7 linked regions of the Macaca fascicularis genome follow. The protein of the gene in region 4 interacts with the protein of the main gene of each other region in a biochemical or structural test. Links are inferred from orthologs where the notes say so. Each region holds a gene or a part of one and is shown on either strand. Other genes may lie near its edges.

Evidence for each region.
Region 1: the proteins of RB1 (region 4) and CEBPB form a complex in vitro, tested with the Homo sapiens proteins (2 studies listed by BioGRID, with this or other methods). The link is inferred for Macaca fascicularis from reciprocal best matches to the Homo sapiens genes RB1 and CEBPB.
Region 2: the proteins of RB1 (region 4) and MYOD1 form a complex in vitro, tested with the Homo sapiens proteins (2 studies listed by BioGRID). The link is inferred for Macaca fascicularis from reciprocal best matches to the Homo sapiens genes RB1 and MYOD1.
Region 3: the proteins of RB1 (region 4) and JUN form a complex in vitro, tested with the Homo sapiens proteins (2 studies listed by BioGRID). The link is inferred for Macaca fascicularis from reciprocal best matches to the Homo sapiens genes RB1 and JUN.
Region 5: the proteins of RB1 (region 4) and MCM7 form a complex in vitro, tested with the Homo sapiens proteins (2 studies listed by BioGRID). The link is inferred for Macaca fascicularis from reciprocal best matches to the Homo sapiens genes RB1 and MCM7.
Region 6: the proteins of RB1 (region 4) and DNMT1 form a complex in vitro, tested with the Homo sapiens proteins (2 studies listed by BioGRID). The link is inferred for Macaca fascicularis from reciprocal best matches to the Homo sapiens genes RB1 and DNMT1.
Region 7: the proteins of RB1 (region 4) and UBTF form a complex in vitro, tested with the Homo sapiens proteins (2 studies listed by BioGRID). The link is inferred for Macaca fascicularis from reciprocal best matches to the Homo sapiens genes RB1 and UBTF.

The regions. Positions count from the first base shown.
Region 1 is NC_088384.1:106,282,887-106,286,902, reverse strand, and holds CEBPB (CCAAT/enhancer-binding protein beta), read right to left. Parts: upstream 2,364-4,016; 5' UTR 2,163-2,363; coding exon 1,128-2,162; 3' UTR 523-1,127; downstream 1-522. UniProt on the Homo sapiens protein: Important transcription factor regulating the expression of genes involved in immune and inflammatory responses. Also plays a significant role in adipogenesis, as well as in the gluconeogenic pathway, liver regeneration, and hematopoiesis.
Region 2 is NC_088388.1:48,060,170-48,064,512, reverse strand, and holds MYOD1 (myoblast determination protein 1), read left to right. Parts: upstream 1-1,281; 5' UTR 1,282-1,493; coding exon 1,494-2,123; intron 2,124-2,614; coding exon 2,615-2,693; intron 2,694-2,977; coding exon 2,978-3,228; 3' UTR 3,229-3,851; downstream 3,852-4,343. UniProt on the Homo sapiens protein: Acts as a transcriptional activator that promotes transcription of muscle-specific target genes and plays a role in muscle differentiation. Together with MYF5 and MYOG, co-occupies muscle-specific gene promoter core region during myogenesis.
Region 3 is NC_088375.1:175,917,760-175,922,232, forward strand, and holds JUN (transcription factor Jun), read left to right. Parts: upstream 1-1,664; 5' UTR 1,665-2,642; coding exon 2,643-3,647; 3' UTR 3,648-4,403; downstream 4,404-4,473. UniProt on the Homo sapiens protein: Transcription factor that recognizes and binds to the AP-1 consensus motif 5'-TGA[GC]TCA-3'.
Region 4 is NC_088391.1:27,516,762-27,520,603, reverse strand, and holds part of RB1 (retinoblastoma-associated protein), read right to left. Parts: coding exon 3,813-3,842; intron 2,804-3,812; coding exon 2,607-2,803; intron 1-2,606. UniProt on the Homo sapiens protein: Tumor suppressor that is a key regulator of the G1/S transition of the cell cycle. The hypophosphorylated form binds transcription regulators of the E2F family, preventing transcription of E2F-responsive genes.
Region 5 is NC_088377.1:48,752,300-48,756,568, forward strand, and holds the start of MCM7 (DNA replication licensing factor MCM7), read right to left. Parts: upstream 3,084-4,269; 5' UTR 2,987-3,083; coding exon 2,956-2,986; intron 2,456-2,955; exon of another isoform or gene 2,163-2,455; intron 1,775-2,162; coding exon 1,695-1,774; intron 1,434-1,694; coding exon 1,269-1,433; intron 1,214-1,268; coding exon of another isoform or gene 1,206-1,213; intron 1,080-1,205; coding exon 955-1,079; intron 880-954; coding exon 699-879; intron 386-698; coding exon 248-385; intron 1-247. Other genes in the region: AP4M1 (AP-4 complex subunit mu-1), read left to right, coding at 3,406-3,463, 3,571-3,680. UniProt on the Homo sapiens protein: Acts as a component of the MCM2-7 complex (MCM complex) which is the replicative helicase essential for 'once per cell cycle' DNA replication initiation and elongation in eukaryotic cells.
Region 6 is NC_088393.1:10,683,852-10,687,693, forward strand, and holds part of DNMT1 (DNA (cytosine-5)-methyltransferase 1), read right to left. Parts: coding exon 3,767-3,842; intron 3,541-3,766; coding exon 3,399-3,540; intron 2,349-3,398; coding exon 2,182-2,348; intron 1,771-2,181; coding exon 1,593-1,770; intron 1,034-1,592; coding exon 829-1,033; intron 1-828. UniProt on the Homo sapiens protein: Methylates CpG residues. Preferentially methylates hemimethylated DNA. Associates with DNA replication sites in S phase maintaining the methylation pattern in the newly synthesized strand, that is essential for epigenetic inheritance.
Region 7 is NC_088390.1:65,272,873-65,276,714, forward strand, and holds part of UBTF (nucleolar transcription factor 1), read right to left. Parts: intron 3,358-3,842; 5' UTR 3,291-3,357; coding exon 3,233-3,290; intron 1,789-3,232; coding exon 1,613-1,788; intron 1,011-1,612; coding exon 927-1,010; intron 823-926; coding exon 667-822; intron 1-666. UniProt on the Homo sapiens protein: Recognizes the ribosomal RNA gene promoter and activates transcription mediated by RNA polymerase I (Pol I) through cooperative interactions with the transcription factor SL1/TIF-IB complex.

The sequences.
Region 1 (4,016 bases), on a different chromosome or scaffold from region 4:
ACTGTGTTTTAAACAACCCACCCAACTACACTTACTAAAAGCATCTGCCCTGACTCGGGCTCAGCAGGACCAAGACCTGAACCCCTCCTCCTACAGTCACAGGCCTGCCTATCTAGTCCCCAAACACAGGGCAGGGGTCACAGACCTCCCAGCCCTTCCAAACCCAAGCCTGACACTCGGGACCAGTCAGAGGTCCCGGAATCTCTTCTCAAGCAGGGTTCCCAGCCACCGGTCCCGGCGCCCAGGAGCTCTGAGTTAGCCCGAAAGCCTGACCCATTACTCTTCTCCCCTTTCCCCCAGGGCTGGAACCCCATCTCCAAGCAGACCCTGTGGGTGGGGGGAGGGTGTAGCAGAGGAGGCAGAAAAACCAGCTGCAACACCCCCACCAACCACCAAAACCTCCAAAAATAACAGCAGCCCCCCACACACAACCCACTACACACCAGAAACGCAAAAACAAAATCCTACAAATCCAAAATAAAGCAAAAAAAAAACAAAAGCCAATTACTGCCCCCAAAAGGCTTTGTAACCATTCTCAAAAAAAAGTTTATTAAAAGTGTTCTTACTTAATGCTTGAAACGGAAGATTCCCAAAATATACAGACGCCTCTTTTCTCATAGAAATAGATTATTTTTTATAATACAAAAAAAAAGACCAAAAAACAAAACAAAACAAAACATCAACAGCAACAAGCCCGTAGGAACATCTTTAAGCGATTACTCAGGGCCCGGCTGACAGTTACACGTGGGTTGCGTCAGTCCCGTGTACACACGCGTTCAGCCATGTTTAAACCGATTGCATCAACTTCGAAACCGGCCCGCCCGCCGGCGCCTGGAGAGGGGCAGAGGGAGAGGCAGAGAGTTTATCATTCATCTGTACACATAGACGTTTCTTCTTTAAATAACACCACGGGCGGGCGCCCCATCTGCATGTGCGGTTGGTTTGGACAAAAATATAGATATATATATATAATAAAATATTAAAATTACCGACGGGCTCCCCGCGCTGCCAAGTGCCCCAGTGCCAAAGTTTTGCCGGCGCCGCCGGGGGCGGAGGCGGGGGCGCGGGCGCGGGCGCTTCCCGGAGTCTCGGCCCCGGCCGGCAGGGGGACGCGCGCGGGGGCCGCGCTAGCAGTGGCCGGAGGAGGCGAGCAGGGGCTCGGGCAGCTGCTTGAACAAGTTCCGCAGGGTGCTGAGCTCGCGCGACAGCTGCTCCACCTTCTTCTGCAGCCGCTCGTTCTCGGCCGTGAGCTCCAGGACCTTGTGCTGCGTCTCCAGGTTGCGCATCTTGGCCTTGTCGCGGCTCTTGCGCACGGCGATGTTGTTGCGCTCGCGCCGGATCTTGTACTCGTCGCTGTGCTTGTCCACTGTCTTCTTGGCCTTGCTCTTGACCTGCGAGGGCGGCGGCGCGGCCCCCGCGTAGCAGGCGGCCGGGGGCGCCTTGGCGTCGGCGGGGCTCGGCGTGCCGGGCGGGCTGGACGACGAGGACGTGGAGAGGCTCCCGCTGCTGCCGCTCGGCACCGCCTGGTAGCCGAGGTAAGCGCGCAGCGCGTACGGGAAGCCCGCCGCCATGCCTGCGCCGCCGCCCGGCGCCCCGGCCTCCTCCTTCCGCTTGCAGTCCGCGGGCTCGAAGCCCGGCTCCGCCTTGAGCTCGGCGGGCGGCGGCGGCGGCGGGGGTGGCGGGTGCAGGGGCGCGAAGCAGCCGGGGTGCAGCGCGCCCTTGGCGGCCCCCAGGCGCCCCAGGCTCACGTAGCCGTACTCGGCCGGCTTCTTGCAGTTCTTGCCCCCGTAGTCGTCGGAGAAGAGGTCGGAGAGGAAGTCGTGGTGCTGCCCGGAGGAGGCGGGCGCGGGGGCGGGCGCGGGCGGAGCCGCCTCGAAGGTGTCCGTGGCCGTGGCGGGCGCCGGGGCCTGCGGCGCGCCCAGCGGCTCCAGGTACGGGCTGAAGTCGATGGCGCGCTCGTGGTCGCCGATGCTGCCCAGCTCGCCGGCTGGGGGGCGCGGCCCGGGTCTGGCCGCGGGGGGCGCCGCGGGGGCCGCCTTGCCGCCGTACGCAGCAGCCAAGCAGTCCGCCTCGTAGTAGAAGTTGGCCACTTCCATGGATTTAAAGGCAGGCGGCGGCGGCAGGGGGAGACATGCTGGGTCCCAGGCCACCAGGCGTTGCATGAACGCGGGTGCCCGGGGAGGGGGCCTGGGGCTGCCCGCTCCGGCCGGCCCGCAGGTGGCGCGGCCTCCCTGCTCTGAGCTGTCGCCGCTGCGTCGCTGCTGCTGCCGCCGCTGCCGGGGTGGCCGCTATTAGTGCGGGGGCTGGTGGCTGAACCCTCGGGTGGGTCCCCTTCCCAGTCCCGTGCGCGGCTCTGACTCGCTAAAGTTTCTCCTGAGCCCGGTTATTTATAAGGGCGGCCCGTAGCAACCGCTGCGTCACACCGGCCCCTCCCGCCGCGCCGCCGGGACGCGAAGGACACGGCCGCGGCCGCCCGAGACCCCCAGGAGGACGGCGGCAGGGCGCAGCGGAGGACCGGGCACCCGGAGCGCGTTTTCGGGGGGGGTCCCCGGGCCGCAGGGGGCGACCTCACGCCCCCTGCCCACCCCCGCCCGGCCGCCCCGGGATTGGGAGCGAGAGGGGGCGGTGCGACCCCGCCCCCAGACCGCCCCTCTGGGCTGGAGGCTGTCCTGGAAGGCGGGGGAATCGGAGGAGGGGGCGACCTGATCGCCTTCCCCCGGAGATGCGGCCCCGGCCCGCCCCCTGCTGGAGGAGGCGGAGGTTTCAGGAGGACCGAGCAGAGCCCCGACGGCGGACCAGGGGCCGCTCCCCGGGCGGAACCCTGGAGACCCCAGCCCGCAACTCTAGCTCCAGGAGAAGCGACCCATCTCCGTAGCCCTTCCCCCTAAACTCCCACCTCTTCCCCAGGTCCCCGGCTCTAGAAAGGAGTAGACTCCACGCCTGTGACGATTCCCCTCTTAAGCCACCGCCAATATGAGGACCCCGGGGGTCGGGGGGACGGAGCAGGATCGCGCTGCGCTGGGGGCTGGACCCTGGTCCACGGTGTCCCGCCCCTAGCCCCGCCCACCGCACCTGCCGCCTGCTTGCGGCTTGTACACACCCGGGTCTTCTCTTGCCCCGCGCCGCGCCATCCGACCTGGGCCCTGGGATGGTGCAGGGGCGGAGGGGTGCTGGGCCCTGCCACACTGTGTGACCTTGGATGAGTCACTTCTCCCAGCTGCAGTCCATGAAGGGTGTCGCTACTGTCAGCGGTGGTGGCATTGCTCCCACCAGACTCCCAAACCTAAGGCTTACGTTGTGGGCTGCACATCAGAGAGAAAGGGACCCCCATGGATTGTGCCAGTGGAGGCCCAGAGGGAGCATGGCATGGCATACCAAGGTCACATGGCCGCATGTCCCCCATTCATCCCAAACGAAATGCCCTCATCTGGGCCCTAAGACCTATTGCCAGCCCCAGAGGCCAAAAAGCTTCTGTTTCTGAAGCTGCTGGGGAGGGGCTTAAGCCAGGCCTCACGGGAGGGGGGTGGCATGCAGGAAACAGAGAAGGAAAGAGAAAGAGAAGTTTTTACCAAGTCCCTGCCCTGTGCTCAGGGTGGGCCTGGACCCCGAGGTTCTTTTTCACCCCACCAGGAAGATGCTTTTGCTGCTGCCGTTTCACAGATGGGAAAGTGACAACGGCCTGCCTGGACTTGAACACAGACCCAAGGCCCTCTAACTACCGGCCCGCCTCTGCTCCCTAGGCTCAGGTTAGAGGGCCCTTTGCTTTGCCCTTCCGGACCCATTCCTAGGCCATTGGGGCAGCTCCCTGGGCCCACCTCTCTGCCACTCCTAGCCCAGGCCGCCCCGGCAGGAGCTCTCAGCCTGCCCGGGGCTGACCCCTGGCCCACTGACCCCAGCCCTGGCCTCAGTGGGCAGGCAGACATTGCTCAACCTTTGGTGTTATCTGCTGAGCTGGGGTGACCTCTGCCCCCAAAGGCTGGAGAAATGACATCTCTGGGCACCCTTGGTGGGTAGGA
Region 2 (4,343 bases), on a different chromosome or scaffold from region 4:
CTCTGTCAGGGCATGGTGCCATGGACGAGTTGTAAGCCTTGGGGAGGTAGCATCCAACTCTGAAAGCCCCTTGCTCGAATAACTCTACATCACTGCCTGAGGGCTTCCACATCCTTGGTCTCTTCAGACTCTCATCCCCACCACAATTACTCCAAGAAATTACTGTCATTCCCAAATCTATAACTGGAAACTGAGGCTAAGGAAGGAGACAGGACTTCCACAAAATCACACAGTGGGGACACTCTGAAGTCTGGATTCAACTGGTCTGCAAATCACACTCTCAGAGACTTCAGGTGAGATGAGGTGAGATTCTCAGGCCAGGTCCTGAAGTTTGCGACCTTGGCCAAATGCACTTTCCTTGACTCAGCACCGCGGGTGAGGCAGAGCCAAGAACGGAGGAGAAGGGTTTTCTTCCCAGCTGAAGAGGCAGCTCAGCCTAGACCCCAGGCATGGCACTGGACAACCCTGCTGTGGAAACGTGCAGATTTAGATGGACGGGATTCCTCACCTGGGCAGGATCCGAGTTTGGAGAGATTGGCGCGAAGCTTTAGCAGCAATCTCTGATTCCTGTACAACCATGGCGGGGTTTCTAAGCGTCTAGGGAAGAAGGACTGGGCCCACGACCTCCTGAGCAACTCCCAGGTCGGGGACTGGTGGAATATCACAGCCTCTACGACCCGTTTGTCTCGAGCTCTCCCACTTCAACTATCGGGGTTTCTCTGCCTGTTGTTGCACTCGTGCGTTTCTTTGCACCTGACACTCTAAGCTTTCTGCTTTCTGCGTGTCTCTCAACCTCTTTCGGTCCCTCTTTCACGGTCTCACTCTCTCAGCTCTATGCCCCCAATCCCTTGCCTCTCTCCAAATAACTCACGACCTGATTTCTACAGCTGCTCTACCCATGGGTTCCCCAAAAATCAGGGGCAGAGGAGTATTAAAAGTCAGCTCAGAGGTGAGCGCGCACAGCCAGCGTTTCCCGCGGACACAGCAGTCGGGTGTTGGAGAGGTTTGGAAAGGGCTTGCCGGAGAGCCAAGTGCAGCCGCCTAAGGCTACCAGTCGCTCCCTCCCTCCCTGCCCGGTAGGGAACCGAGAGCGCGCGCCAGTGTGGAGGGGCGGGCTGGCTGGCCACTCTGCGGGCCCCTGCGGCCACCCAGGGGACTCCCCAAGCCCCGCCCCGCTGTGTTCCTATTGGCCTCGGGCTCCCCCGCCCCTAGCTGCCCGCCTGGGCTCCGGGGCGTTTAGGCTACCACGGATAAATAGCCCAGGGCGCCTGGCGCGAAGCTAGGGGTGAGGAAGCCCTAGGGCGCTGCCGCCGTTTTCCTTAACCACAAATCGGGCGGGACAGGACAGGGAGGGGTGGGGGACAGTGGGTGGTCATTCACACTTCCAGCACTTTACTATCAACAGCCAGGGCTCCCGAGCGGCAGAAAATTCCGGCCACTCTCTGCCGCTTGGGTTGGGCGAAGCCAGGACGGTGCCGCGCCACCGCCAGGATATGGAGCTACTGTCGCCACCGCTCCGCGACGTAGACCTGACGGGCCCCGACGGCTCTCTCTGCTCCTTTGCCACAACGGACGACTTCTATGACGACCCGTGTTTCGACTCCCCGGACCTGCGCTTCTTCGAAGACCTGGACCCGCGCCTGATGCACGTGGGCGCGCTCCTGAAACCCGAAGAGCACTCGCACTTCCCCGCGGCGGTGCACCCGGCCCAGGGCGCGCGTGAGGACGAACATGTGCGCGCGCCCAGCGGGCACCACCAGGCGGGCCGCTGCCTACTGTGGGCCTGCAAGGCGTGCAAGCGCAAGACCACCAACGCCGACCGCCGCAAGGCCGCCACCATGCGCGAGCGGCGCCGCCTGAGCAAAGTAAATGAGGCCTTTGAGACGCTGAAGCGCTGCACGTCTAGCAACCCGAACCAGCGGTTGCCCAAGGTGGAGATCCTGCGCAACGCCATCCGCTATATCGAGGGCCTGCAGGCTTTGCTGCGCGACCAGGACGCCGCGCCCCCTGGCGCCGCCGCCGCCTTCTATGCGCCCGGCCCGCTGCCCCCAGGCCGCGGCGGCGAGCACTACAGTGGCGACTCCGACGCGTCCAGCCCGCGCTCCAACTGCTCCGACGGCATGGTAAGGCCGGGACCCCAGGAAGTGAGGAAGTTAGGGCGGCGCTCCGAATATCTGGGATGTGCTTCCAAGGGCGGGGAGCTGGCCTTGCGGGAGGTTTAGTACAGGATCCTTTCCAAGCGAGAGGACCCCCGTGTAATGGGCAGCTGTCACTGGGGTAGCCTAATTGTTTTGGAAGCGTGCGGGCATGCGTTCGAGCCACCCCGTTGGGGGCGCGATTAGAACACTGCAGCGCGGACATGAAGCTCTTTTTCTGTATTTTTTCCTACTTCCAAAATGTAAATTTGCGCCCCTTGGTGACTGTCCGCCCTTGGTTTGGCCCTGCATGTTGCAGACCTCATCTCCTACCCACCCGTAATCACCCCCAACCAGGACAGGTCTGGGCCCGGAACTCGAGGCTGGGGCTAGAGTTAGGGAGGGGGCGGCTACAGGGATTGGTGTTCGGGCCCCGCGCCGTCCCGCGGGCCTGACTCAGTCGCCCTTGCTGTTTGCAGATGGACTACAGCGGCCCCCCGAGCGGCGCCCGGCGGCGGAACTGCTACGAAGGCGCCTACTACAGCGAGGCGCCCAGCGGTAGGTATTCCGGGCTTCGCCCTGCTCGCTCCTCCTCCCCATGGCCTTCATGGAGCTGTCCTGGCCTCTCTCTATCTAGGACGCCCCCACCCCAACTCACATACGCCTATGTCCCGGGAGGTGGTGCAGGCGATGAAATACTAAGCAAGTAGCTCCTTCTCCTTTCGATTGTCCCGGACTCTGACAAGTCCTCAGTTTCCAATCTGTCTCAAAGTACTGGACCCAGGGGTGGGAGGCTTGTCGCGGCCGCACCCCTGCTTACTAACCGAGCCCTCACCGCGCAGAACCCAGGCCCGGGAAGAGTGCGGCGGTGTCGAGCCTAGACTGCCTGTCCAGCATCGTGGAGCGCATCTCCACCGAGAGCCCTGCGGCGCCCGCGCTCCTGCTGGCCGACGTGTCTCCGGAGTCGCCTCCGAGCGGGCAAGAGGCTGCCGCCCCCAGCGAGGAAGAGAGCGGCGACCCCACCCAGTCCCCGGACACCGCCCCGCAGTGCCCTGCGGGTGCGAACCCCAACCCGATCTACCAGGTGCTCTGAGGGGCGGGTGGCCGCCCACCCGCCCGAGGGATGGTGCCCCTAGGGTCCCTCGCACCCAAAAGATTGAACTTAAATGCCCCCTCCCAACAGCGCTTTAAAAGCGACCCCTCTTGAGGTGGGAGAGGCGGGAGAACTGAAGTTTCCGCCTTCTGCCACCCAGGGCAAGGACTCAGCGCGGTTTTTTCCACGCAGCACCCTTCCCGGAGATCCATTGTGATGGCCGCTCCGTGTTCCTCGGTGGGCCAGAGCTGAACCTTGAGGGGCCAAGTTCAGCTTTCTCGCGCCCTCCCCCATGGGGGTGAAACCCTCCCAGACCTAAGCCCTGCACCGGGATGCACCGGTAATTTGGGGGGCGTGAGGCCCAGGTGCACTCCTGTCCCAAATGTAGCAGGTGTAACCGTAACCCACTCCCAACCCGTTCCCCGGTTCAGGACCACTTTTTATAATACTTTTGTAATCTATTACTGTAAATAAGAGTTGCTTTGCCAGAGCAGGAGCCCCTGGGGCTGTATTTATCTCTGAGGCATGGTGTGTGGTGCTACAGGGAATTTGTACGTTTATACCGCAGGCGGGCGAGCCGCGGGCGCTCGCTCAGGTGTTCAAAATAAAGGCGCTAATTTATACTGCGGTGGCTCCAGCTTTCCCTGGGCATGGGAGTGGGATCCGGAGGAAAATCCGCAAACTGGGCCAGCTGTGCCTCAGCGACCCCTGTAGGCAGCAGGCGGATTGCAAGGAGGAAGCCTGCTGCCTGGGGAAGGAAGGAGGGGTGCAAATTTGTCCAATACGTGGGGAAGTTCCTCTGACCTTGACTACCTCACCACACACTTCCGTGGCTCTTATGGAAGGGTACACAGGTTGATATGAGTATTTTTTAAACCCATGTCTGAGCTCGCCTCCCAGAGATTCTGATTTAATGTTTCTGCCCCAGATACCCAGGGCCAGGTACTGGTATTTTTTTCAAAAGCTCCCCAGGTGATTCTGAAGTTCATTCAAGGCTGAGAATCATCCCCTCCATATACAGTGAGTGAACCCAGGTGTGATAACCAGAAGAACCACAGGAAGGTTGTGGCCCAGGCATCACTTGGGGGCCTCCTGGGTATAGAAGATGTGATAGG
Region 3 (4,473 bases), on a different chromosome or scaffold from region 4:
CCTCCCCTCGAAGCTTCTCACAGGAAAGTACACCTGGTCCTGCCAAATCGCACTCTTATATCCTGGCATCCTATCCAGGCTCTGCGAGGATGGAAACCGCGAGGCAGGGGAGGGAAGCGAGCTGTTTGGCCACCACCTCCCTAGTGCTGCAGGCGACCCTGTCACACTAACTCCCGGCAGCCCGGTGATGTGGACGGCACCGGCCCCACCTGCAGATGAGGGTAATGAAGCTCAGAGGAGTTCCGTGATTTGCTCGCTTCACACTGTTGCAGCCTGGCCACGAAAGAACAAGCATTCCCGACTTCGGGATTCTTTCCACCACACACTTTCGTCCCTAAGGGGTGGGGGGCGGGGGGAAGATAAAATAACAACCGCGGAAAAGGAACCACTTACATGTGTCTAGCGCTTCCTAGAGGCTACTCAGGATATGGGCCCACCACCCGGCCGGGAAGGTGGAGATTTGAAGTCCAGGTTCTACCCCGGGCTCCTGAGTTCTACTGCGTTACTTTATGCGAGTGTCCCCCGCCTTCTGAGCTTGTTTTCCCGGAAGCAACTCGGCGCGGGTGGAGAGTGTGTGCGTGTGTGTGTGTGTGTGTGCGCGCGCGCGCATGTTGTGCGTGTTGTGTTAAGCGTGTGTGTGTTGTCCGGGGGCGGGAAGGGGAGTAGACTAACACCGGGGTTCCCCGAGTTTCGGATCGCCTACACGCTTGTTCCCATCTGGACCCTGTTACCCACTAATTGCGCCCACTATAAAAACTGCCCCTCGGAGGCAAAGCTGTGATCCCCCGCGCCCTTTCCCCCACGGTCCCGGAGGATGAAGTGGGGTGCAACGGAGACTCAGCTGAGCGTCCAGTTTTGGGCAATACAAATCTCTCAGCTTCTAAGAGCAGCCAGACAACCCCGCGGACCATCGCTCCTGAACTTGACCGAGATGCAAACTTCGCAGCGTTTCTCAACGTGGGGGGCCGACTCTCGGGAGACCGCCCCCAAACTTAAGCCCCCTTAGGCTCGCCCCCAACTGGGACTTCACAGAGCCACCTTAAGGGCGGCGCTCCCGCCCCCCGGAAGTGCGGGGGGGCGGCGGACCTGGACTCTCAGCCTCCCGCCCCGCGCGGTGGCGGACGCCGGTGGATGACTTCGAGCCCCACAAGTGGGGAAACACAACCACCCCTCGCCCGCACCCTTGACCCAAAACAACTGGCCGGGTTCCCTGGCCTCCCGGGTCCCCGCATCCCCTGCATCCCAGTCCGCAGCCGTGAACTTGAGCCCCCTCCGTCAGATGTTGCGAGCGTCCGCCCGCTCGCGGCAGCCACCGTCACTAGACAGTCAAACCCCAAGACGTCAGCCCACAATGCACCGGGCGGGCCGGGAAAAACGGCCCGGGGAGGGGACCGGGGAAGAGAGGGCCGAGAGGCGTGCGGCAGGGGGGAGGGTAGGAGAAAGAAGGGCCCGACTGTAGGAGGGCAGCGGAGCATTACCTCATCCCGTGAGCCTCCGCGGGCCCAGAGAAGAATCTTCTAGGGTGGAGTCTCCATGGTGACGGGCGGGCCCGCCCCCCTGAGAGCGACGCGAGCCAATGGGAAGGCCTTGGGGTGACATCATGGGCTATTTTTAGGGGTTGACTGGTAGCAGATAAGTGTTGAGCTCGAGCTGGATAAGGGCTCAGAGTTGCACTGAGTGTGGCTGAAGCAGCGAGGCGGGAGTGGAGGTGCGCGGACTCAGGCAGGCAGACAGACACAACCAGCCAGCCAGGACGGCAGTATAGTCCGAACTGCAAATCTTATTTTCTTTTCCACCTTCTCTCCAACTGCCCAGAGCTAGCGCCTGTGGCTCCCGGGCTGGTGTTACGAGGAGTGCCCAGAGAGCCTGGTCTCCAGCCGCCCCCAGGAGGAGAGCCCTGCTGCCCAGGCGCTGTTGACAGCGGTGGCGAGCAGCGGTACCCACGCGCCCGCCGGGGGAAGTCGGCGAGCGACTGCAGCAGCAAAGAACTTTCTCGGCCCGGAGGGCCGGAGACAACTGGCCCAGAGTCCCGGAGCGAACTTTTGCAAGCCTTTCCTGCGTCTTAGGCTATTCGGCGGCGGTAAAGACCAGGAGGCGGCGGACAGCCACGCAAAAGAAGAAGGACGTGCGCTCAGCTTCGCTCGCACCGGTTGCTGAACTTGGGCGAGCGCGAGCCGCGGCTGCCGGGCGCCCCCTCCCCCTCGCAGCGGAGGAGGGGACAAGTCGTCGGAGTCTGGGCGGCCGAGACCCGCCGCTGGTCGGCCTCTGCGGGTCGGCACTGATCCGCGCCGCCGGGAGAGCCGCTGCTCTGGGAAGCGAGTTCGCCCGCGGACTCCAAGGAACGGCGGCGCCCGAAGAGCGCTCAGTGAGTGACCGCGACTTTTCAAAGCCGGGTAGCGCGCGCGCGAGTCGACAAGTAAGAGTGCGGGAGGCATCTTAATTAACCCTGCGCTCCCTGGAGCGAGCTGGTGAGGAGGGCGCAGCGGGGACGACAACCAGCGGGTGCGCGCGCTCTTAGAGAAACTTTCCCTGCCAAAGGCCCCGGGGGGCACGGGTGTCCCCCGCTTGCCAGAGCGCTGTTGCGGCCCCGAAACTTCAGCACGCAGCCCAAACTAACCTCACGTGAAGTGACGGACTGTTCTATGACTGCAAAGATGGAAACGACCTTCTATGATGATGCCCTCAACGCCTCGTTCCTCCCGTCCGAGAGCGGAGCTTATGGCTACAGTAACCCCAAGATCCTGAAACAGAGCATGACCCTGAACCTGGCCGACCCAGTGGGGAGCCTGAAGCCGCACCTCCGCGCCAAGAACTCGGACCTCCTCACCTCGCCCGACGTGGGGCTGCTCAAGCTGGCGTCGCCCGAGCTGGAGCGCCTGATAATCCAGTCCAGCAACGGGCACATCACCACCACGCCGACCCCCACCCAGTTCCTGTGCCCCAAGAACGTGACAGACGAGCAGGAGGGCTTCGCCGAGGGCTTCGTGCGCGCCCTGGCCGAACTGCACAGCCAGAACACGCTGCCCAGCGTCACGTCAGCGGCGCAGCCGGTCAGCGGGGCGGGCATGGTAGCTCCAGCGGTAGCCTCGGTGGCAGGGGGCAGCGGCAGCGGAGGCTTCAGCGCCAGCCTGCACAGCGAGCCGCCCGTCTACGCCAACCTCAGCAACTTCAACCCAGGCGCGCTGAGCAGCGGCGGCGGGGCGCCCTCCTACGGCGCGGCCGGCCTGGCCTTTCCCGCGCAACCCCAGCAGCAGCAGCCGCCGCCGCAGCCGCCGCACCACCTGCCCCAGCAGATGCCCGTGCAGCACCCGCGGCTGCAAGCCCTGAAGGAGGAGCCTCAGACAGTGCCCGAGATGCCTGGCGAGACGCCGCCCCTGTCCCCCATTGACATGGAGTCCCAGGAGCGGATCAAGGCGGAGAGGAAGCGTATGAGGAACCGCATTGCTGCCTCCAAGTGCCGAAAAAGGAAGCTGGAGAGAATCGCCCGGCTGGAGGAAAAAGTGAAAACCTTGAAAGCTCAGAACTCGGAGCTGGCGTCCACGGCCAACATGCTCAGGGAACAGGTGGCACAGCTTAAACAGAAAGTCATGAACCACGTTAACAGTGGGTGCCAACTCATGCTAACGCAGCAGTTGCAAACATTTTGAAGAGAGACTGTTGGGGGCTGAGGGGCAACGGAGAAAAAAAATAACACAGAGAGACAGACTTGAAAACTTGACAAGTTGCGACGGAGAGAAAAAAGAAGTGTCCGAGAACTAAAGCCAAGGGTATCCAAGTTGGACTGGGTTGCGTCCTGACGGCGCCCCCAGTGTGCACGAGTGGGAAGGACTTGGCGCGCCCTCCCTTGGCGTGGAGCCAGGGAGCGGCCGCCTGCGGGCTGCCCCGCTTTGCGGACGGGCTGTCCCCGCGCGGACGGAACGTTGGACTTTTCGTTAACATTGACCAAGAACTGCATGGACCTAACATTCGATCTCATTCAGTATTAAAGGGGGGAGGGGGAGGGGGTTACAAACTGCAATAGAGACTGTAGATTGCTTCTGTAGTACTCATTAAGAACACAAAGCGGGGGGGAGGGCTGGGGAGGGGCGGCAGGAGGGAGGTTTGTGAGAGCGAGGCTGAGCCTACAGATGAACTCTTTCTGGCCTGCCTTCGTTAACTGTGTATGTACATATATATATTTTTTAATTTGATGAAAGCTGATTACTGTCAATAAACAGCTTCATGCCTTTGTAAGTTATTTCTTGTTTGTTTGTTTGGGTGTCCTGCCCAGTGTTGTTTGTAAATAAGAGATTTGGAGCACTCTGAGTTTACCATTTGTAATAAAGTATATAATTTTTTTATGTTTTGTTTCTGAAAATTCCAGAAAGGATATTTAAGAAAATACAATAAACTATTGAAAAGTACTCCCCTAACCTCTTTTCTGCATCATCTATAGATACTAGCTATCTAGGTGGAGTTGAAAGAGTTAAGAAT
Region 4 (3,842 bases):
CCTACACAATTTTCCAAGCCTTTATGTTTTTTGTAGCCTCACAATATCTCTCTCAATTCAAGGCATATGGCATATGTTCAATAAATATGTGTTGATAGAAATAAAATTAACTCTCTAAAAGAAATAACAATAGTCACTTTCAGATGATATGGTAATATCTCAATATCAATTTCTGGGAGGAGAGGACACATAGCCTTTAAAAAGTACTCTATGTGCTTATTTTATTTACTTATCTATTTATTTATTTTTACTTTCACTTAATTCCCCAGATTCAGAAAGTTTTCTCCTAAGTACTCCTTATCAAGTGTAAGTTCATTCCATAAGTAGTTACCAAATTCAATAATAGGAGTATAACATTCTTCTATCAATTTCCCATGCTTCTCTCCTCTATTCACTGTCTATATGGCAACACAAGAAAACACTAAGAAATAAACTATTGCTTAGTCATTAAAAATTCAAAACATAAAGAAATTAAAACTAAGGTTACATGTGCAAATTAGGATTATAGCATACCTAAAGTCTTAATTTTTAATTACCATTTCTATATACTGATACAAATTAAAAGATATATACTTAGCATGCAACACAGTTTCAAAAGAAACCATTAATCTACAAATCTGATGATTCACAAAGTATTATCCAACTATGCAGATTTGAAGAGCATAAACTCAAGTTGCCAATTTTATTAAAACAAAAGCCTTATCAATAGTTATAATGCTATAAAGAGAATCCTAGACAATATAATTTGTGCCCCTATAATGATTGAACCAATACACCAATACCTATAATTGAACAATAGTATAGATTTTTATACTCTAATAATGGGAAAAATGAATCCTATTATATTCAACAAGAAAAAAATGCACTTTTTAATAATCTAAATAACATAATCTCACAATTTAAGAGCAGACATTTACATTTTCAAACATAATGACGACTGTATTTTAAATAAATTATCTAAATACTTTAAAGAATTATGTTCTGTTTTAGAACAGAGCCCTCAGAAAGAATACCACACATCTACAACCATCTGATCTTTGACAAACCTGACAGAAACAAGAAATGGGGAAAGGATTCCCTATTTAATAAATGGTGCTGGGAAAACTGGCTAGCCATATGTAGAAAGCTGAAACTGGATCCCTTCCTTACACCTTACACGAAAATTAATTCAAGATGGATTAAAGACTTAAATGTTAGACCTAAAACCATAAAAACCCTAGAACAAAACCTAGGCAATACCATTCAGGACATAGGCATGGGCAAGGACTTCATAACTAAAACACCAAAAGCAATGGCAACAAAAGCCAAAATTGACAAATGGGATTTAATTAAACTAAAGAGCTTCTGCACAGCAAAAGAAACCACCATCAGAGTGAACAGGCAACCTACAGAATGGGAGAAAATTTTTACAATCTACCCATCTGACAAAGGGCTAATAACTAGAATCTACAAAGAACTTAAACAAATCTACAAGAAAAAAATCAAACAATCCCATCCAAAAGTGGGTGAAGGATATGAACAGACACTTCTCAAAAGAAGACATTTATGCAGCCAACAGACACATGAAAAAAAAATGCTCACCATCACTAGCCATGAGAGAAATGCAAATCAAAACCAGTGAGATACCATCTCACACCAGTTAGAATGGTGATCATTAAAAAGTCAGGAAACAACAGGTGCTGGAGAGGATGTGGAGAAATAGGAACACTTTTACACTGTTGGTGGGACTGTAAACTAGTTCAACCATTGTGGAAGACAGTGTGGCGATTCCTCAAACATCTATAACTAGAAATACCATTTGGCCCAGTCATCTCATCATTGGGTATATACCCAAAGGATTATAAATCGTGCTGCTATAAACATACATGCACATGTATGTTTATTGCCACACTATTCACAATAGCAAAGACTTGGAATCAACCCAAATGTCCATCAATGATAGACTGGATTAAGAAAATGTGGCACATATATACCATGGAATTCTATGCAGCCATAAAAAAGGATGAGTTCATGCCCTTTGTAGGGACATGGATGAAGCTGGAAACCATTATTCTGAGCAAACTATCGCAAGGACAGAAAACCAAACACTGCATGTTCTCACTCATAGGTGGGAATTGAACAATAAGAACACTTGGACACAGGAAGGGGAACATCATACACTGGGGCCTGTGGTGGGGTGGGGGGAGGGGGGAGGGATAGCATTAAGAGATATACCTAACGTAAATGACGAGCTAATGGGTGCAGCACACCAACATGGCACAGGTATACATATGTAACAAACCTGCACCCTAGAACTTAGAACTTACCCTAGAACTTAAAATATAATAATAATAAAAAAAAAGAATTCTGTTTTGTTTTAAAGTGCCATGTTTTAAGAAAAGCTATTCTTAAATAAATCACTATGCTGTATTAGATGGTTTAGGGCGCTCGAATAAAGCTCCATTCTAATATTCTACTTGATTCTTGGGCTACAGACTGAAATAACATTATTCATTATTGCCTATTTGTTCTTGAGGTAGATGTTAAGAAACACCTCTCACTAACAGATAATTTGTTAGCCATATGCACATGAATGAATTTCTTCAATTATGTAGCTAGTTACTTACTGAGAGCCATGCAAGGGATTCCATGATTCGATGTTCACATCGTTCTAAGTGTTTTATCATTTCTCTTGTCAAGTTGCCTTCTGCTTTGATAAAACTTTCAATCACTTTGTAAAAATCAAAGGCTTTCAAATTAAGCACATTCAGAATCCATGGGAAAGACAAATCTGTTCCAGAATCAAGATTCTGAGATGTACTTCCTAAAAATGAAAAAAAAAAGTAACTTAGATATGAAATATTAACCCTTGAGCTAGGTATTTTTTTGGAAAGTCTTATCAAACAAAGAAAACAGTAGAAAGGTTAAACGATTTTTATTTAGAGCAGAATTTTTTATTTTGGAGTCTACGGACTCATAGGAAATAGCCTTCCAATTTTGAGTGTATGCACATCTATATTTTTCCTAGAGAAAGGGCTTATAGCTTATCTCAAATTTTCAAAGGTTTAAATACCCTAAACTTATATCAGAAACAGGTTTAGTATCTTACCAGCCATTTATTAGCATATCTATTTTAATTCTCATTAATCCTTGGTAAGAGGAGAGACAGATTCTTCAAGATCCTGCTAATTTCATTAGTCAGAAAATGGTATCTCTTTAAAATATGCATTTCTTGGTTATAAATGAGGATTCACAGTTTTCCTTATTTGTTTACTAATAAGGAAACTAGAAGTTCCTCTTTCACTGTGTTTTGCATCCTTTACAAATGTTCCTTTTGTTTCTGCAAGCAAAACTTTCTTTTAACATTTGCAACATAATTTGCAAAGTGATATACATTTATATTTTTAAAAACACTGTAACTGGCCTTTGTTCTGTTTATCCAGTGGGTTCCAGCTTCAGTCTTTAGTTTCATAACCATGGAGGTTATAGCAGTGCTTCCATATCAGTAGAGGCTACTCTTGAATACTCCTTTGGCACTCTACAATCTCACAGGTCTTCGGAGGGATTTCAAAATGTACCTTTTCTAAATTCAGTATACCAGTATACTCAGAAGAGGAGCCTAGTGAAATATTATCCCCAAGATGGCCTCAAATAATTCAAATAAGCCTCTTAAATGGCTTATAATGACCAATTACATTGTTCAGTATATAGTGATCTAAAATAAGCATTCCTTCTCCTTAACCTCACACTATCCCTCTCCTCCCACCAAAGAAACACACTACATTTTAACTTTAAATTGAACAAAAATGTTTATTCATGAAAATTTAACTTACTGCTATATGTGGCCATTACAACCTCAAGAG
Region 5 (4,269 bases), on a different chromosome or scaffold from region 4:
AATGGACGAGGACCCAACCTTCCCTCCCTAGGCATCCCACTCAAAGGCTCCCAGGCTGCCTAGTCACAGACAAGCCCACAGGAGGGCTACTGAGTTTCCCCTTCCCAAGGCTCTCAGAAATTCTAGTTCCACCTCCCTCCTGCACTTCCCTCTTTCGTTCTTCTTTCTTCCTGCCACTCCACAAGTGACTACAGGATTCAAGTGGACTCCCAATCCACCTGCCCAGGGCCACGTACCCCAAACTCACATGTTCTTGCATCTTCATCTCCTGGAATTTGATGAATTTGGAGCCCCGTGTCTGCAGATACAGCCGCCCTCCTGAGCGGTTGGTTTGGCACTCCTGGCTTGGGCACATGATCAGAGGCATGAAAGTTGGAGACTGGATCTAGGATGTGAGAACAGAAGCAGCAAAAGGAAGTCAGAAGCAAAAGAGCCCCATTGGGTCGGTCGGTTCCTTGAATCACATTTTCTCTTCATGGCAGACATCTTGGAAGTGTCAAGAACCCTTTGAACTTAACTCTGGGTCAACAACAAACACCCAAGAAATAGGTAGAAAGACCATTACATACCCAACAATGAAAGGCAAACACACAGGCAACTTTTACAAGCAAAGAAAATGATAGGCATCACGGGATCAAATTAATCTCTACAAAACGACTAATGGGTAAGGGCTTTCCTGCTCCTTGCTCCACACGTACCGGCTGGTAGGTCTCTGCCCCACACTGGTCACAAGTGTAAGTGGCCACCACCATCTTGGGTTTGACTTCAGAGACACGAGTGACAATTCCACGCACAGTCACCAATTTCCCCACAGAGTCAGCCCGCACTTCCCGGATCACACGAGGCTTGTTGCTACTTGGGCCTTGAAAATACAGCTCACTAAGGGGAGAAAACAGTCACAAACAAGATCCTGGAGAACCAATCCCTACATACTTCCAAACAGAGACCACTCACAATCTGCGCATGAGTTCAGCAGGGTACTGGTTCTGGGGGCTTCGGGCTGTTCCAGGGTCCCGACTCCGCTGCTCCATCATCAGCCGATGCTCAATGTAAACGTCCAGGACATCTTTATTTACCACCTAAAGGAGGACAAAATAAACAAATAAATAAATAAACGAGCAACAGGATGGGGAAAGGAGAGTGCAGAGAACACCAGACTGAAATGCCCCTTCTTTCTGCCTGCTCAGAAAACATCAGTATCTGACCAGCCTCTCTACAGAAGCTTAAATGCCTTTCCCTTTGTTTGCCATTGTTCTCTAGCCACTCACTTCCCTCTCCTTGTACTGAGGCAGCAGCTCTTGTACGGAATCGGCAAAGAGCTTTGCGTAGCGCCTGGCATTCTCACAAATTGAGTCCACCAACTCGGGGTCATCCTCGGCTACGTCGTCCAGGTCCACATACAGAGCCACTTGTTCCCGATGAGCCAGCCGAACCTCAGGTGAGAAAGAGACAGAAACACCTCAAAGCCACATTCACCTTGTGCACCAGTGTTCATATGTGAAGATACATTACTGAGAACTCAGCACAGGCTCTGGGCATCCACAGGGGGGAACACAGCACCACTTAGAGAGATACTTGCTTCTCAGCCCCCAAACCCTCTAATTATTACCTCTTTAATAAAACCAGCCAAGCTACTTCTTATGGCTCCTTATGCACCCCACTTCCCCATTCCCTTTACCCAATCTTATACTTACCAACTGGTTCCCATACTTGAACTGCTTCTTCCCAAGTTCATCATCCTGGTAGAACTCTTGTAAGAACTTCTTAACCTTTTCTGTAACGTGAAATGTAAAATCATAAAACATAAACTTTAAGACACATCACTGCCCATCCCTCTGATAGAAATCTAAGATACCTATTTTCGCTTAAAACACAGCCTATGAACTAATAATATGAACATTTAAATAAACTACCGAATTCTCCCCAAAGTGGGCATAACTCTTTTGCACAGTCTGTTTTAACCAGCGAAGAATAAAGAGCCCGGGGCAGTGCACAGGGCGATCCAACATCTATTCCCCAGGGGAATTCCTGTCCCTACTTTAGTTTAAAATCCTAGCGCCGTTCCCCATTGGCCTCCCACACTCCGGCCTCAAGGTTCTCAGCTTTCTTTCCACCCCCATGATCCCCTGCCTTCTTTGGGTCCCCCGAGCCCCTTATCTCACCGAGACCTCCGCCACCAGGCAGGTCCCGCACCCCACCACCGCTCCCGCCAGCGCTTCCGCTCTTAGTAAACAAAGAAGCACATGGGCCCGGATTCCAGCCGCTTCACAGCCCGGGATTCCTCCGCCCGAGGCGGGAGCCAGTTCAGCCATTGGCCAGCACGCCCAGGGCCACTGCGATCCCAGCCCACTGCCGCCTTTCCCGGGCCCGAGCGAAGCTCCCGGATCCCAGGCACGCCCCCCCGGGTCGCAGCTCTCTCCGAGGCCGCCACGCGGAAGGACACTGTTTACACGACACTCCCTCCACCCGCGTCGCGCCACTTCCGCCCGGCTCCACTTCCGCTCGGAGGGCGGCCTCAAACGGCCAATCCCGGCACGTAGCGGCCCCGGCTTGCCCGCCCCCGGGGCCTCCGCGCGCCTCGGGGAGGCGGCGGGAACCTGGGAATATCCAAAAGCGCGGAGGGAAGCGGGTCCGGGGTCCAGAGCCCTTAGAGTCTCCTGAGGTCCTCGGCGCGACTCTTCCCTGTGCAGCCCTCAGCCGGGTAGCGCCCCCCAAGCCCCCCAACTCTATAACACCTTTCCCAAGTGGGATTACTACCTTTTCTTCAACGTCGATGCCCCTCGCGCGCCTTCCAGGTCCCGTGGGCCTTAGCCAGGCCGCAACCCGACCCTGCCTCTGGCGTCGCGCGCCCCAGAACCCGCTGACCCCGGTCCTCGAAGACCCCAGCTCACATCAACAGGTGTTCCCCGGGAGGCTCCCCGCGCAGGACGCCCTCCCAGGCTTGTAGACCCGTACCTTTCTCTAGCGCGTAGTCCTTCAGTGCCATCGCTGCCGAGGCCTGTGCGGCAGCTCTTGGCGGGCTCAGAGGTCTTGCTTCTGGGGAAGCTGAGAACGTCCGCGCGGTGGACTGTGGCCGGCCAACCGAAATTGGCGCGAAACGTCGCCCCCCACGTGACCAGCGCCACTGCGTGCGGGCCAATCGGAAAAGCCGGCCCTTTCTCCCTCCCGCTAGCCGCAAGCCAATCGCCGGGCGGGCCTCGAATGAGTGACGGGGAGGCGGTGCGGGAGTCGGAAGGGAATCTCCGGGCGGGGTGGGGCGGGCGCCGGGTTTCCCGCGGTCCAAGCTGGCGCGGCGGAGGAGAATCGCTCTTAAAGGGCCAGCGCACGCGCGTTCTTTTGTTCCGGGGCCTCAGGGCGGGGCAGGCCCAACTTTCGCCGTCTTCTTGTCTGCTCTCCAGGACGGCCATGATTTCCCAGTTCTTCATTCTGTCCTCCAAGGGGGACCCGCTCATCTACAAAGACTGTATCCTAGACCCTCGGGGCTGGGAAGGGGCGGAGGGACCGGGCGGGAGGGGCGCCCAGGGCCAGCCCGTGTCGCAGGATCCTTCACTGAGTCCTTCCACCCGCCAGTCCGCGGGGACAGTGGCGGCCGGGATGTGGCCGAGCTCTTCTACCGGAAGCTGACGGGACTGCCAGGAGACGAGTCCCCGGTTGTCATGGTAACCACTGGCGGGAGGCGGGTGAGGAGCTGGGCCCGGGCGGGCCGGGTGGGCGCCGTCTCCCTCCCAGGACTGGTTCCATGGTAGCTTCCACTTGGGGGTTGTATTTCTCCAAGTAAAACTAACAAGAGGCCCGGCGCGGTGGCTCACGCCTGTAATCCCAGCACTTTGGGAGGCCGAGGAGGGCGGATCACCTGAGGTCAGGAGTTCGAAACCATTCTGACCAACATGCTGAAACTTCGCATCTACTAAAAATACGAAAAAAAAATTAGCTGGGCGTGGTGGCGGGCGCCTGTAATCCCATCTACTCGGGAAGCTGAGGCAGGAGAATCGCTTGAACCGAAGAGGCAGAGGTTGCAGTGAGCCGAGATCCGGACACCGCACCCAGCCTGGGTGACAGAGCGAGACTCCGTCTCGGGGTAATGGGGGTGGGGGAAAAAAAAAACGTCCATTGGGCGCCAGCAACACACCAGGCCCAGCTCCCTGCGTGACTCCATTATCAGCAACTTGGGGTAGTTACTATAATTAACCCCGTTTCCACATGGGAAGCTGGGCTCAGGGATCTGTCATGTATCTCCCAAACTAGTAAGAGGCATCGGGATCCCAGCTC
Region 6 (3,842 bases), on a different chromosome or scaffold from region 4:
AAGAGAGGACAGTGATGAGGCTGCAGTTACGGGATGGGGTATAGGCTTGGGACAGGGGACAGTGGCTCTTAGAGCTTTGGGAGGCAGAGATGGCACCTCCTGTGCAAGGGGACCCCTGGGGTGGAACAGCCAACAATCCTCATTCTCTGGGGACTGTGTTTGTTATTATTACTATATATTTTTTTGAGACAGAGTCTGGCTCTGTTGCCCAGGCTGGAGTGCAATGGCATGATCTTGGCTCACTGCCACCTCTGCCTATGGAGTTCAAGCGATTCTCCTGCCTCAGCCTCCCAAATAGCTGGGATTACAGGCGTGTGATACCACGCCCAGCTAATTTGTATAATTTTAGTAAAGATGGGGTTTCACCATGTTGGCCAGGCTGATCTCGAGCTCCTGACCTCAAGTGATCTGCCTGCCTCAGCCTCCCAAAGTGCTGGGATTACAGAGGTTGAGCCACTGTGCCTGACCTGTTTTATTTATTTTATCATTTTATCTATCTATCCATTCATTCATTCATTCATTCATTTTAGAGACAAGGTCTCACTCTGTCTCCCAGGCTGGAGTGCAATGGCACAATCACAGCTCTCTACAGCCTCAACCTCCCAGGCTCAAGTGATCCTCCCGCCTTAAAGTGCTTCCCAAAGTGCTGGGATTACAGGTGTGGCCACCAACCCAGTCTGCTTTTACTACTTAACATGGTCAGCAGCTACCTTCTCTGGGACACCCAGGTTTGGTGTGTCTGTGCCCTGCCCTGGCCTCCAGGTTCACAGGTCAAAGCCCCAGGGCTCTGCCTTCCTTCCCCTCAGCCCATCGGGAACCACGACCTACAGGCCCCACCTTCCACGCAGGAGCAGACCCCACGGAGGGCCCCAGAGCTGCTGCGGCCGTTCTTCCTGTCATGGTGGGTATACCGCAGCTTCCTGGCCATGGTGCCGTCCGAGAGCCGCACCTCGATGTTCGGCAGATCGCGCCAGTCTGAGCCGGGGGCCAAGGGGATGTGCCGCATGCGGGCGGCCACCAATGCACTCATGTCCTGAAAGAGTGTGGGGGACCCAGCTGTCACCTCGTGTAAGCAGCATCCGAGCATCCATGGTGGGCTGGGTGCTGGGAACACCATGGTGACCAGGAAGCCCCCTGGGGCTCACGCCCATTGGGAAAGAGACAGTCGGGGATGTTGTACTTGGCTCAAGGCCATAGCAGAGACCTGAGGCAGCGCAGGGGCGGGACAGCGTGGGAATCTAAGCTGAGTCTTTAGGGTGGGGGAAGGGGAGTGGTGCCAGGGGATGGTGAAAGGGCTGGTCTTGGCATCCTGGGAAAATATGCAGGAAGAGGCAGCGAGGGGGAAGGCAGTGGTGGGTGGGCAGTGGCTTGACACCATTCCAGACCGAGTCTGAGTCCAGGAGTGCGGGAGCTCTGACACTTCCCATGACCATGGGAGAGAGACCAGGGGTCACGCAAGGGCTGAGGACTCAGGAAGAGGAGCCTGGGATCAGATTCCATGTCCCCCCTGAGCCTTGGGCAGGCTCTGACTGTTCCCATGAGGCTGCTAGGCTGGGCCTCCAGGGGGAGCTGCTCTGTCAGGGTGCCGTTACCTTACAGATGTGGTCCCTGAGGATGGGCTGGTACTGTGCGCCCCGGAGCTGCCTCTGGAACCAGGACTGAGGCTCCCCATTGTAGGAGATCTCCAGTGCTGAAGCTCCATTCCGCACCTCTGGCAGGTCGGACATTGTGTCTCGCACCGTGATGGTCCGGAAAGGACCTGAGCTCAACCTGCAACAGGAGGTGGACACCTCTGGGCATGCACGCAGCAGCTGTCCCCTCGTCACAGGTGCTGCCCCCTGCCTGCTCACATGGCCTTCTCCAGAGGTCACAGCACACTGCCTGAGGTCACATGAGTGGCAGTGTGCCTGGATGCCATCTGGAAGAGGGGACGGGGTTATGGCATGGACTTTGTGGATGACCACAGCCAAGCATGCGGCCAGCCGCTCTACATGCGCTATCTACTAGGGAAGCAGATGACGCGGGGTCAGAATTGGAGAAGGGGGGTGACAGAGCGCCGTGTTGCAGGCTGGATGCCGTACCATCCTCTCCTCCCTAAATCTCACCAGGGAGCACTCACGGGCCCTAGGAGCTACTGAGGCCCGCTCGGCAGTGTGTGGAGGAGTGACCGGGGCCACCTACCTGGTTATGTTGCTCACGAACTTCTTGTCGTCCACCACCACACTCAGCTGGCAGGCCCGGGGTGCAAACACGTGCAGCGGCTCCGGGAACAGGGGAAGTTTCTCTCCAGGGGCTGCGGCCAGGATGATGGCCCGCCTCCGCGTCTGGGCCACGCCGTACTGACCGGCCTGTGGGGGAGAAGGACAGACACCCCCATCAGTGGGACACTCCCAACTGGACAGGCCAGACCCAGGCCTGGGGTCAGCAGCCTGACTTGGGAGCAGCTGGCCGATGCAGAGTGCACTTGCAGAATCCCCAGTTACCCCAGCAGGCACGCTCCTGGTCAGAGGAGGTTGGAGCAGATAAAGAACAAAAGCAGCTGAGCGCAGGGGACAACCACTGGGGAAGGTGGGAGCGAACCTTGTGGGCAAGTCCAGCCAGCTCTGAAAGCACTGCAAGGGCCCCGAGGTCTTAGCACTCAGGAAGAACAACACTGGAGACCAGGAGCCCTGCCACTTCCCTAATGGCTGTGGTTACAAGGACAGAGAACGTGGCTGTGACAAGTCTTGCCTGCTGAGCCTGAGTCACCCTGAGGCTGAACTAGGGGACCGGGTAGCCAAGTGCTTGCCCACTTAGGCAGACATCCTGTGCTAGCATCTGAATAGCTGCTTCATTTTTAGTTATACCCTCAATCGCTGAGCTGATAGAGGATGGGGGGGATGCTTTTCAGATAAGGCCTGGGCCCCACAGACCATGTCCATCCCTGTCCCTGCAGACACAGCCACCTGGAGTGCAACCCTCGGCCATCTGTGGGGGTTTGTATGCGCAGTTACCCAGAGCAAAACTGTCTTTTAAACCGATCGAACAGCAGCTGCCTACACATGTCTCTGCACACCTCACTTCCCCTCATGCAGACTTAACCGCTCCGTGGTGGGCTGCTCACCCTTCTCCATCGAGGGAAAGGAACCGGGAGCTACCTGGTGAGAAGCCCCTGGTAGCCAGCCCTCCCGGGCATGTTCGAGAACACAGCTCAAGAGACGCTAGAGGTGGACTTGCTGGGGGCTGGCTGAGCATGCATCTCCCCTGACCCCACCAGTGGGACAGAGCACCATGCCAGCCTCTGCCGCCTGAATGGCAGGCCTGTGCCATTGAACCCTGCTTTCAGTAAGGGACGGTTGGCTGCTGGCCGGGTCATGTGCTGGCCACATCCATCTGCCCGCCCCGGCCCCGGGGCCCACCTGCAGCACGCCGAAGGTGCACTGATAGCCCATGCGGACCAGGCAGCGGAGGGTGAGCTTCAGGACCATGGAACGCTTGAAGGAGACAAAGTTCCTGACATTCTCCAGGAGGAAGAACCGGGGCCGGTAGTAGTCGCAGTAGCTGTAGGGGGCAGGAGAGACTGCAGGAGTCACCTCCACAGACAGAGGGGAGAAACGACCCACTGTGCCGGAAGCCCCTCGTGAATGTTATCAAAGTCTCTCCCTACTGAAAGCTGAGCTGTGAGTTTCCAGCGGGCAGAAGCCTCAGTGCAGGGTGAATGACCACTGCTGACACGCGGCACAGCCCCAGGCCATCTGTCAACACGGGGGGGCTTCTACCTGTTTACCTGAGGAAGGAGACCACCAGCGAGTTTTTGAACTTGGAGTAGGTGCGTGAGTTGAAGCGGTTCATGCCACTGAAGC
Region 7 (3,842 bases), on a different chromosome or scaffold from region 4:
GGGCAACCCTCCAACCAGGGTTAATGCTTTGATGGTCTGGGACAGTGCCCGACCTCTGCAAGGAACAGTATGAGGCCAGGAGGGACAATGTGTGTCCTTGAGTGAACATGTGTGTGTGGAGAAGGAAGTGCACTTCACAGGTGGACATGGCAGTAACAGCACTGGACTGGGACTCTGGGGCACTAAATCCTGCTCTAGTATCAATAGTTGTGTCACCTAGGACACTTAACCCTCCTGCACCTCAGTTCCTTGCCCACAAAACTGGGATAACCTTTTCCTGGGGTTACCTTCATGAAGACATCGCAAGTATCAGATGAGACCATGACGGGAAACGTCATAGAGAGTGAAGAAGTGCTGCGCAGCCTAACAGTGAGGATGGGTGTATGGGGGAGAGAGCCTGATGAAACAGAATGCTGTGGGTTTTCTGTAGGGGGAAAGGTTGGTCTGAGCATCTGCTGTCTGAGCATCTGTGGTGGTGCCTGTGCCTGAACATGTGTGGGCCGAGGAAGGGGCGATCAGGTGTGCCTGCCCAGGACCTACTCTGCTGTGCTGACTCACCCTCGTCCCTGATGCCAGGTCTCTCCAAGGCCTACCTCCAACCGACCCACACCACACCAGCTGCTCCCAGCCTCTCCCCTCCTCCCACCTTAACTCTCCTCCCCCCACCTTCTTCTTCTCCGGAAGCTCCTTGTATTTCTTGGACAGAATCTTGGTTAGGTCCAGGTTGCTCATCTCAGGGTGGAGTTTCGCATACTTGGCCCGCTTCTCCATGAAGAAGCGGAAATAAGGGGTCAGGGGCTTCTTTGGGAAGTCTGGGTGTTTCTGGAAGAAGGGACAAGGAACAAGGACACAATGGAGGTCAAATACCATCCGTTCTTTGGATCTTTCCTCCCCTACCCCTCATGCTCCTCCTTCTAGTAACTCACCTTCAGTTTTTTGCCTTTGTAAGGATTTTTAACATGTTCCTGAGCATCGAGGATCAATTCTGTCAATGTACGGAACTTCCTCACCTGGAAGAAGAGGGGCGGGAGGAAGGGGAAGTTGGGAAAAGGAAAATGCCACACAGTAGCATACCCCCATCTTATAATGGGTCTCTTCTACTCTTTACTAGACTAAATTTACCAAAGAAGAGCAGAGGCCAACAGCCAAATGAAGCAGACTAAATTTACCAAAGAAGAGCAGAGGCCAACAGCCAAATGAAGCAGGCACCCTGACACCCAGGCACTGGCCCATGCCTACCACAGAGGCCCAGGCAGTCAGTACACACCAAAGGCCAGCAACAAAGGGACTACCTGACCTCAACCTGGTTGTCCATGCCAGCACCTCCTTCAATCTCAGCATGTTAGCACCTCTGTCAATCTCAGCACAGCTCAGGCTGTTCGGCTCAAGACCACCCAGATAGAAAGTGGCATAACTTTAAGCCAGTGCTGTCAACCGTGCCACCTCCCAAAATGCAAAGGGGCAGGTAGAGAGCTAACGTGCGACCACATGAACGCCTCTCCTGGTGTCTTTCCTTCCTGTTTACAGCCTGTTTCACTTCCCCTACCACGGCTGAGGAGGGGGTAATGTTTGTATATGTATGTGCGTGTGTCAGAAAGGGGGGATCAGTTACCTCGTTAGAAATCTCCACCCATTTGAGCTTGCACATGTCTCCAGAAAAGTCCTTAAATGCAACTTTTTCCCAGTCCATATGTGATTCGGTGGTTTTGAATTTGGAGCTGTCATTGGATGGAAGGTTGTTCTTCATGCATTCCAGCAAAGTCAGCATGTCTTCCTGGGACCAACGGTCTGGTGAAGGGTAACAGAGGCCATCATGCCTGGCTCATGCTATCCCCCAAATCTGTTCCCCAGTTCTTGAGTGCTCAACTCTTCCTCCCTAGGGCATCCCAGCCCCTGATTGCTTCCCATCTGAAGGCAGAGACAAGATATGGCTCAGCCCTAAGGAAACTGTGGCCATACTGGATGAGGGCAGGGACTCCAGTCCAGACCATGCTATACCTAGAAAGCCAGGCTCAAACTCAAGTCTGGCTTGCTTCAAAGCTATTATCATTTCTACTGTGCCAAGCTGCAACAGGCAGCTATTTGCTATAAGGGGAAGAGGGGTGGAAATGAAGGTACAGTGATTCAGGACTTTGTGGGAAATGAGATAGCTTGTCAGAGGAGGGAAGCAAGGAGGCATTGTATCTAAATGTGCTGCCAAGTTCAAGTTCTGAGTGGATATTCTAAATGTGCAAGGACTGAGGATGGGGTGTGGGCAGTAGGGAAAATTCATGCACATGTTTCTCCTGCACAGCTGGAGACTGATGTTAGAGATACCCACTATCCCCTGGCCCCTCAAGGCAGATCAAGGGAGAATTTCTGGCAAATAAGAAAAAAGAAACAGAAACAGAAGCAGGATACAGGGCAACTCTGAGGCAAAGTAGGCAGGTGCACAAAAGCTCTCAGGGCCCTGATCCAGGGAGAACCCCCAGAATTACAAGCTGTCTTGTCAGCCCAACTCCCCAGGGAAGCAAGACCAGGTCTGGACCAGTTATTTTCAGCCACTGAAATGCAGCCCCAGAGAGCTCTAGGCCTCTGTGGATGGGCTGGGAGAATAGTCACCCAAGGCCAGAAGTCAAAAGGGCTCTCCATTTTCATTTGCATCTCGTAACCTAGGCCAGGGATTCTGCAGAATGGGCCACAAGGACCCATAATCCCCTCTCCCCTCAATGTCCCACAAGCATGGCCAGCTGCCCAGCTCCATCCTACCCTCCACCCCCATCCAAACTGGATCACTGCTGAATGAGGCAGAGATCTAGTTGAGTACATATATCCCATGGCTTGGGGCCTCAAACCACCACAACAGCCCTCTTCTCCACCTGCCTCTACAAAAGCCTCATGGTCTTCCTAAAAAGCCTGAGAAGCCTTCCCTCTACAGTCATCATTCCTCCCATTCCAGGACACTGGGCTGGGACACACTTAAGGCTGAATGCAAACCCCAGAAGGCAGGCCTCCTCTAACATAGGGTGTGAGGGACAGGGAGAGAGGGGAGGTAAGCCACTCCAGGCCAAAAAATTTGGATTCAGCCAAACCAATCAAGTGTGGGAGATGCTTGATTCATAAGTACTCAAGGCACTTTCTCCCCCAATTCAGTGTATGCAGACTGGAAAAGCCCTTGAAGAAGGCAGTGTGCCCCACAGCCACGAGGCAAAGAGGGTTTAAGTTTCAGAGGGCTGGGAGTGGATGCCCCTACCTTGGCCTTTGGGGGCGGCCATTTCCAGGTCTGTGGGGCAGTCGGCTTCTCCGTTCATCCTCCAGCTGTCCAGCCACCTCCTCGGTCGTGCTGGCCGGGCAACCCGGGGTCAAAGCCACCTCACCCTTTGGAAGACATACAAGTTCCCACTCAGGAAGGCTGAGAGGTGAACGACTTTCTAACCCTCCCCGCCCAGAGTAAAGGTGGGCAGGTCCACGCTCTCAGAGACCCAGCCATAACCTTATCAGACTTAAGGGGTCTCTGGGAGGGAGAGTACGCCCCTCCTCTTCTTCCTGACCCCCCTCCCCCAGCCCCTGCGGCCCGGCTCCGCGGCGCGCGCCCTCCCCTGCCCACGCGAGGGCCTGCTCCCAGCTCCCGCGTGCAGCGAGCGCCCGCTCTCCGCCCCCCTTCCCCAACCCCAGCCAAAAAAAAAAAATCTCCTCCTCCTCTGAGCGCCCGCCCCGGGGAGGCCCCAGGCTGGAGGGCGGGGGAAGAGGAAGGGCGGGTAAAGGGCGCGCGCGGCCACGGAAGCGGGCACGCGCCCCAGTCTCCTCCTCCCGCCTCCCCCCAGCCGGTTCCCCCCGCCTCCGCAACCCGGCGGGGACCCGGA